Linked DNA regions of Coturnix japonica. The protein of the gene in region 1 binds, or shares a complex with, the protein of each later gene. Links are inferred from orthologs where the notes say so. Each region holds a gene or a part of one and is shown in the gene's direction. Other genes may lie near its edges.

Region 1 (3,400 bases):
CCTGCCCCAGCTCCACCGTGTCCCCCCCAGCCCCACCATCACCAGCCCCGAGCTCTCACCGTAGCAGACAACAGCAGCTCGTGCCCCGCGGTAATAGATGCGGCTCATGGCCTCGTAGCGCTCAGAGCCCGCTGTGTCCTGTGGGAACAAAGGGAAAAGTCAGCGAGGGGGTCAGGGGCTGAGCAGGGCCGGTGTGAGCAGGGACAGTGTCAGCAGGGACAGTGTCAGCAGTGATGGTGTGAGCAGTGATGGTGAGCAGTGATGGTGTGAGCAGTGATGATGGTGTGAGCAGTGATGGTGGTGTGAGCAGTGATGGTGTGAGCAGTGATGGTGTGAGCAGTGATGTGTGCCAAGCAGTGATGGATGCTTGCTGAGCAGTATGGTGCAGTGAGCAGTGATGATGGTGGAGCAAGTGATGTGTGTGAGCAGTTGATGCGTCTGCCGTGTGAGCAGTGATGCGGGGGAGGGGAGCGGAGGGGAGTGAGGCGGGGACGGGGCGAAGGGGGGGTGGTGAGCACGCTGTATTGGGTCACGGCATGTCGTCAGCAGTGATGGTGTCAGCAGTGATGGTGTGAGCAGTGATGATGGTGTGAGCAGTGATGGTGTGAGCAGTGATGGTGGTGTCAGCAGGGCCGGGGCTCAGTGCTCGGTGCTCACCCAGATTCCCAGCGTCACCGTCTGCTCCCCCACTGTCAGCACCTTAGCCACGAACGCAGCCCCGATCGTCTGCAAAAGAAGCGTTGGAGGCACGGCGGGGTCAGGGGGGGGATCCGAGATGGGACACGGGGAAACACACGGGCTGGGGATGCGGTGGGACACGGCACCGGGGGGAACACGAGGAGTCGGCGGGGGGGGGGGACATTGGGCCAACGGAGACGAGCGGGCTGACACGGGGATACGGGCACATAGAGAAGAACGAGGGAACAACGCGGGGACCCGACCCAGGGGAAGCGGCCCGGGGACACGGAGGGGACGGGAACCCCGGGACAACCGGGCCGGGACAGCGGGGGATCCTCACGTTCTGGTAGGGCCCGGCGCGGAAGCGGCGATGCACGCAGCGCTCCACCAGGCTGCTCTTGCCCACGCCCTCCTGGCCCAGCAGAACCACTTTGGCGTCCACCCGCCGCCCGCTCATCCTCGCGCCGGGCCGGGGCGGGGCCGGGGCGGCGGAAGCGGGCGGGGCTCACGGCGGAAGTGCCCGCGGGGCGGAAGTACGTGCGAGCGAGGCGGAAGTGCGCGGCGAGGGACGGGGCCGCATGGCGGCCGCCCAGCAGGCCAGGGCCGGAACCGGGGCGGCGGCGGCGCGGCCCTGAGCCCTGAGCACATGGGGAAATACTGCGCCAGCCTGGGCGTCCTCAAGGGGCCCTGGGACCAGGTGTTCGCCGCCTTCTGGCAGCGCTACCCCAACCCCTACAGGTGCGTACGGCCGATGGAGGCCCCGCTCCGAGCTGCCGGTACCGGGCGCTGAGCGGCGCTTCCCTGTGTCCGTTGCAGCAAACATGTGCTGACCGAGGACATCGTGCACCGGGAGGTGACGGCGGACCACAAGCTGCTCTCACGGCGCCTCCTGACCAAGACCAACCGCATGCCGCGATGGGCCGAACGATTCTTCCCGGCCAACGTCGCACACAACGTTTACATCGTGGAGGATTCAATCGTGGACCCCAAGAACCGAACCATGACCACGTTCACCTGGAACATCAACCACGCGCGTCTCATGGTGGGTGCGGGGGGGTTTGGGAGCACCCAGAGCTGGGCTGTGCTCAGAGCTGTGCTCAGAGCTGTGCTGTGCCCTGAGCTGTGCTGTGCTCTGTGCTGTGCTCAGTGCTGTGCTGTGCTCAGTGCTGTGCCCTGAGCTGTGCTGTTCCCTGCAGGCAGTGGAGGAGCGCTGTGTCTACAGAGTGAACCCTGAGAACAGCAGCTGGACCGAAGTGAAGCGCGAGGCCTGGGTCTCCTCCAGCCTCTTTGGCGTCTCGCGGGCAGTCCAGGTGAGAGCTGGACCTGGACACTGTACTGCTTTTCCTCCTTTCCCTGTCACTTTCCGACCTTTGTGATCTCTTGGTGGGTCCAGAGCCACGAAATATTTGGGGTTGATCAGCCTGGGATAGAGGCTGAGGAGTTTTTCTGTTGCAGGAGTTTGGTCTGGCCAGGTTCAAAAGCAACGTGACCAAGAGCACTAAAGGATTTGAATACGTGCTAGCAAGGATGCAAGGTAAACAGCCGAGGGCAGGGTAGGGCTGGACAGGACAAGGCTCTGGGAGATGCAGGTCGTGCTGGCATCACTCTGTGTGCAGGGCCCGGCTTGAGCTAAATTGACTGTGACATCTTTGCTCTTTGCCTTTTGCCTTTGCCCTCACCAAGTGCTCTTCCGCTTAGAGCTGCCAGGCCCAGGCTGTGCTGGTCAGGGCTGAGCGGGGGTGGAGCACGGGCAGGAGCAGAGCAGCAGTTGTCACGTGCCTGGAGCTCACTGGGACGTGCTGTGATGCATGTGGGCTGGGAACACAGGGCTGGGCTTTCCCTGTATGGAGGAGGAGGCAGAACGTGGCTCACCCAGCTTGTTTTAGCTGGGGCGGGGCGGGGGGAACAGGCATCGGGTCAACAACTCGTGTGTTTCAGGAGAAGCTCCATCTAAAACTCTGGTGGAAACAGCAAAGGAAGCAACTGAGAAAGCAAAGGAGACAGCTCTGGCTGCTACAGAAAAAGCCAAGGACCTGGCGAGCAAAGCAGCCACCAAGAAGAAGCAGTTCGTGTGAAGAGCTGGACGCAGGCAAGAGCTGGGCTACGCCAGAACAGATAGGAGCCTCCTTAGATTTTATATTTTTAACTGTAAAAGTCTGACAATCAGCTGCTGTTAGATCCTAAGGTGTAATTATCATTAAAGAGTCAACTTCCACCTCTGACTTGGCTGAGGGCTGGGCTGTCAGAGCAGAGCTCTGGGGATGGATGTGGGCGGTGAGTCCTGCTGGCCGCAGGCAGGAAGCAGACGTAGTTTAACCAAGTGCCTTTACTGCAATAATAGTGTCGATATGTACAAGAAAAGGAGTCAAGGTGGTGGTGGGAGCGCGAAGCGTTGCTCAATGTGCTCACTTCCCCTTGCTGGCTTCACCAGGGTTAGCCTGGAGCTGCATCTGGGGGGCGGGCACTACCCTGTGTCTACTGTACACACATCCCCACTGGGCCGGGCTGTCCACCAGTGCTGCTTGTACTCCTGCAGCGCTTTGCTGTGCAGTGGAGCCCGGAGCCGTGCGCCCAGCGCTGTGCCCAGCTCCATCCAGCCGCCTGGGCTGGGGATGTAGGGATGCACCAGGCACCCGATGCCCCCACAGCCGCGTCCCGAGGGACAGCGCCGTCAGGACCAGGGGCTGCGGGGGCTGGAGTAGCTGTGGTCTCTGCCGGTGCT
Region 2 (4,029 bases), on another chromosome or scaffold:
AGTGCAGCTTAACGTACAGTGCTACTGCAGTCTGATTTGTGAGCATGTAAGGGAAGTCAGGAAGTTCTGTTTGCCTTCCTGTAAGCAGTGCTGGGCAGGAGCTGTAAGGTAACATTAACCCCTCTACTGCTTTAGGCTCAATAGCTTGCAGCCTGCTCCAGGTTTGGTTTGTTAGTACAGATGATTAGAGTCATCCCTTACTTTGGAAGGTGTTGGGTTAACTCGAGCACGATGCAAAAGTTCTATAGAAGCTATGGTACCTGGTGGGGCTACGAAGTATTCCTCGACTTTCTCCGTGGCGTTTTTCAGCAGCTGTGCCGTGCAGTTCCCCTCGGTAACGTCATCTTCCCGCAGATAAAGACACCTGAGGACAGCGGCCGGAGGTCTGCATGGAGCACATTGGGGCTGGATGTGCACGGGGCACCAACACGGCCCTTACCTGTCCTCCAGCACCGAGTCCATGGGCTGGACACCCTCCGTATCCACCTCCCGCAGCCGCTCCGCGAATCGCACCGCGTCCCGCAGCCGCTCCACGCCGTCGGCATCGCGGAAATCCACCAGGGCCAGGCGCTCCAGGTGGTCGAGAACCTCCATCGTGACGCCGTCCTGCAAGAGAGCACAGATGGGGCTCCTCAAACCGTTACCTCCACTAATGGTATGGTATGGTATGGTATGGTATGGTATGGTATGGTATGGTATGGTAATGGTATGGTTATGGTATGGTATGGTATGGTATGGTATGGTATGGTATGGTATGGTATGGTTAGGGTAGGGTATGGTTAGGTTATGCTATGGTATGGTTATGCTATGGTATGGTTATGCTATGGTATGGTTATGGTATGGTATGGTTATGATATGGTTATGGTATGGTATGGTATGGTATGGTATGGTATGGTATGGTATGGTATGGTATGGTATGGTATGGTATGGTATGGTATGGCATGGGTATGGGTATAGGTATGGGTATGGGTATAGGTATGGGTATGGTATGGTATGGTATGGCATGGTATGGTGATGGTTATAGGTATGGGTATGGCATGGCATGGTACGTTACGGCCCGGCCCCGTGCTCTGTCTGACCTGCGGTGTCGGCGCGGCGCTGGCTGTGCACACGCTGATCCTGAGTGCTCTCACCGTCCCGCCCCGCAGTCCCCGCCATAACCCCGGCACCCACATCTCGCGCCGCCGGAAGCGGTTTGTGGCGTCATCGCTACGCGCCGGAATCGCGTCGTAGCGGTGTCGGAGGGGCCGTGCCGCCATGAATAGCGTGGGGGAGGCGTGTACCGAGCTGAAGCGCGAGTACGACCAGTGCTTCAACCGCTGGTTCGCAGAGAAGTTCCTCAAGGGCGAGAACGACGGGGACCCGTGCGGGCAGCTCTTCAAGCGCTACCAGCTGTGCGTGCAGGTGCGGGCCCTGCCGAGCCGCCGCCTTCACAGCCCAGCATCGTGCCGTTGCAGCCCGTGCGGGGCGGTGCTGACGCTGCTGTTTGTAGATGACGTTGTGAACAGAAGCTTTTGTTTCTCGGTGCCGTTTGAAACGTGCTTCCAACGTAACCGTTTTGTTGTTGTTCTTCCCAGAAAGCCATCAAGGAGAAGGACATCCCCATCGAAGGGCTGGAGTTCATGGGCCCGAGCAAAGGGAAAGCTGAAAACTCCTCCTGACTTCAGCTGAATGCGGGGAGTCAGTGATACGAGCCCACGGGCTGGGAACGGCGGCCACCCAGCAGCCAGGATGGATGCACCGGGACAGCGCTTTGCTGAGCTGCTTCCTCCATGTAGCACTGTAGGAAGTGGGGTTTCCTCTGTGCCTGTAGAAACAAACTGCCGCGAGCCAAAAGACTTCACGGTGTGCTGCCTGCTGCCTCCTTCCCAATGAATCGTGGTGGTGGTTCGGCTTATAACAGTGCAAAAAGATGATTTAACTTCTGTCGAATGTACTTTATAATGGGAGATGTTGAACCTGTAGTTAATCTCTGACCCGTTTATCTTGCTTATTTATGATGTTAGGAAGCGTCTAACAAGAAGGTTGGTTTACTCTGTCTTATCTCTGTGGTGCTGAATTTGGGTGGAAGGAGGCTGGTTTATATGATCCCAAACACCAAGGGCCTAAAGCACAGGTTTTGCCAGTAACAGAGATGGTGTAAAAGCACTTTTGCTGGATTTGCAATAGCTTAAATGAAATAAATGTAAGAAGTTATATTTTGTTCAGGTGGATGACTGTTTGGTAACGTCTGATTATGACCTCCAGGAGGGACAGAGGCAGCCTGCAACAGAACTGAAGAAACAGTGAAAGCAGAGGCCACTTTCTTTGGCCTTTTCCGAGGTACTGAAGTGATCCTGAATCTGAGTTCTTGCTCCTGTAATGTAATGTGTCACTGCAGTAGAACTGCGCAGGCCTGGCTGTCTTTGCACACACGACCACACAGCACCAGGTTGGCCACAACTCCTGTTACATCTTTGATTGAGATAATCAAAGTGTTGAGTGACAGTGATGCTGAACTGAAGCTTCACAGCTGAGAAGTTCAACGCCCCGGCAGCTTGTCCCGCCTCTTGGGGGACCTCACCTGCTTATGAAACTGCTCATGGACTATGTGTGAGCTTTACACCTAGTAAAGCAAACTGAAGTTATTTGTTGGTCTTAGTGAGTTGGCTTGTAAACTGCACAAACTCCAAGTAAGTTATTAAGTAAGTTATTTAGTAGTGGTTTTGAACGAGTGAGATGGTTGTCTAACTTGCCAGGTGCCCCATCTGAGAGTGTTTGTGTTACACTTCTGTGCAGCATGACTGAACAGCACTTTGTTTTTTCCTTAAACGAGTATCTGAAATTCTCTTCCTTTGAATGTAGAAAAGTAAAGGAGGCTGCTCAGCAAAAAGAATAGGCTGGTGTGTATTTTCCCATCTAGTTATGAAGGAGTTGTTAGGAATTACCCTTCTCCTCTCCAAATGTTTTCTACCTGGTCCACCCTGATATTTCAGCAGTAAGGCTTCCTTCGCTCCTGCAGATCTTGCAACAGATAGAGAGAAAAGGTGCTTGGAGAAGCGTGAGCTCAGTTGTCCTCAGCAATGACAGTAGCTCAAACACGGTCACACAGCCTGCATTAACCACGCTCCTGTGTGCACAAGGCAGCTGGCAAAATAGTCTGTGCAGAGATTAAGTGTAGCACTTCCAAAGTGAGCTGTTAATGCTTACTGCTGGGTCACTCGGTATAAATGGAACTAACTTTCAGCTGCTAAGTTGGGACACTTCTTTCTCAGCACCAGGAAGAACACTTTGTGGTCTGTCGAGTATGCAGCTTTATTTTCGACTAGCACATAAAACTGCTTTGCTTTTCTATGATCTTCATATAAGAACTAGTGTATTTTGACAGTTAAAGTAACTGTGCCTCTTAGTGCCTTGTTCTATGCATTATCATAAGCTTAAGTTATTTTATTATAGCGCTCTTCTGAGCTACGAGGAAGACATAAATAGCACTGAAGGCTAAAGAAGATTGTCCCGTAGTGCTTCTGAAATAAAATTGTGTTTCTGCAGACTCCAGAGGTTTACAATTGGTTAACTATGCAAAATCAGTACAGCCTTCTAGGATCTGCTGAGTGACACCGTGTGTATTGCGCAGACACGCAGCAGAGCAAAAACTGCTTTTGTTTGCAATGTGTGCCCTGAGATTTTGTCCAATTGGACTGCAGCTTTCCCAGCAGTGTCGTACGTGTGCTGATATACCAGAAATGTGAGAGCTGAGGATTAACGCTGGGAAGGCTGAAAGTGCTTAAGTTCAATGTCTTTGCTGGAATTCCCTCTCCCAGAAAGGGCTGGGTAAGACAGAATTGCCTTCGTGACTCCTAAACATTGCAATAGTGGATTATGCAGGATGTGTTTCCCTGTATACTGAATTTTAATTTATAATATTAGACTGATGGCAGCTCACCTGCACGCAGGATAACAACAGTCAGTGAAATCACACATAACATGTTATTTCATTTCGTATCCTTCATGATGGACTTGTTAGCATGACTGGATATGGGAGCAGGTATT

What was found. Proteins that work in one complex are often made in the same cells at the same time.
Region 2: the proteins of PRELID1 (region 1) and TRIAP1 are in contact, whole or in part, in a crystal structure (PDB 6I3V), measured with the Homo sapiens proteins. The link is inferred for Coturnix japonica from reciprocal best matches to the Homo sapiens genes PRELID1 and TRIAP1. Residues at the interface, in NP_037369.1 of Homo sapiens: Trp15, Asp16, Phe19, Ala20, Trp23, Gln24, Tyr26, Pro27, Val34, Leu35, Thr36, Glu37, Asp38, Ile39, Val40, His41, Arg42, Val44, Gln48, Lys49, Leu50, Leu51, Ser52, Arg53, Leu55, Thr57, Tyr79, Leu81, Asp83, Ser84; in NP_057483.1 of Homo sapiens: Met1, Asn2, Ser3, Val4, Lys12, Tyr15, Asp16, Phe19, Asn20, Trp22, Phe23, Phe27, Leu28, Gly30, Asp31, Ser32, Phe41, Tyr44, Gln45, Val48, Gln49, Ile52, Ile57, Pro58, Ile59, Leu62, Glu63, Phe64, Met65, Gly66.

The regions. Positions count from the first base shown.
Region 1 is NC_029528.1:12,011,882-12,015,281, reverse strand, and holds PRELID1 (PRELI domain-containing protein 1, mitochondrial), read left to right. Parts: upstream 1-1,214; 5' UTR 1,215-1,324; coding exon 1,325-1,416; intron 1,417-1,494; coding exon 1,495-1,720; intron 1,721-1,874; coding exon 1,875-1,988; intron 1,989-2,133; coding exon 2,134-2,212; intron 2,213-2,616; coding exon 2,617-2,753; 3' UTR 2,754-2,900; downstream 2,901-3,400. Other genes in the region: RAB24 (ras-related protein Rab-24), read right to left, coding at 60-138, 658-726, 1,019-1,135; MXD3 (max dimerization protein 3), read right to left, coding at 3,350-3,400. UniProt on the Homo sapiens protein: Involved in the modulation of the mitochondrial apoptotic pathway by ensuring the accumulation of cardiolipin (CL) in mitochondrial membranes.
Region 2 is NC_029530.1:8,239,623-8,243,651, forward strand, and holds TRIAP1 (TP53-regulated inhibitor of apoptosis 1), read left to right. Parts: upstream 1-1,257; coding exon 1,258-1,404; intron 1,405-1,577; coding exon 1,578-1,661; 3' UTR 1,662-3,529; downstream 3,530-4,029. Other genes in the region: GATC (glutamyl-tRNA(Gln) amidotransferase subunit C, mitochondrial), read right to left, coding at 261-364, 440-606, 1,080-1,259. UniProt on the Homo sapiens protein: Involved in the modulation of the mitochondrial apoptotic pathway by ensuring the accumulation of cardiolipin (CL) in mitochondrial membranes.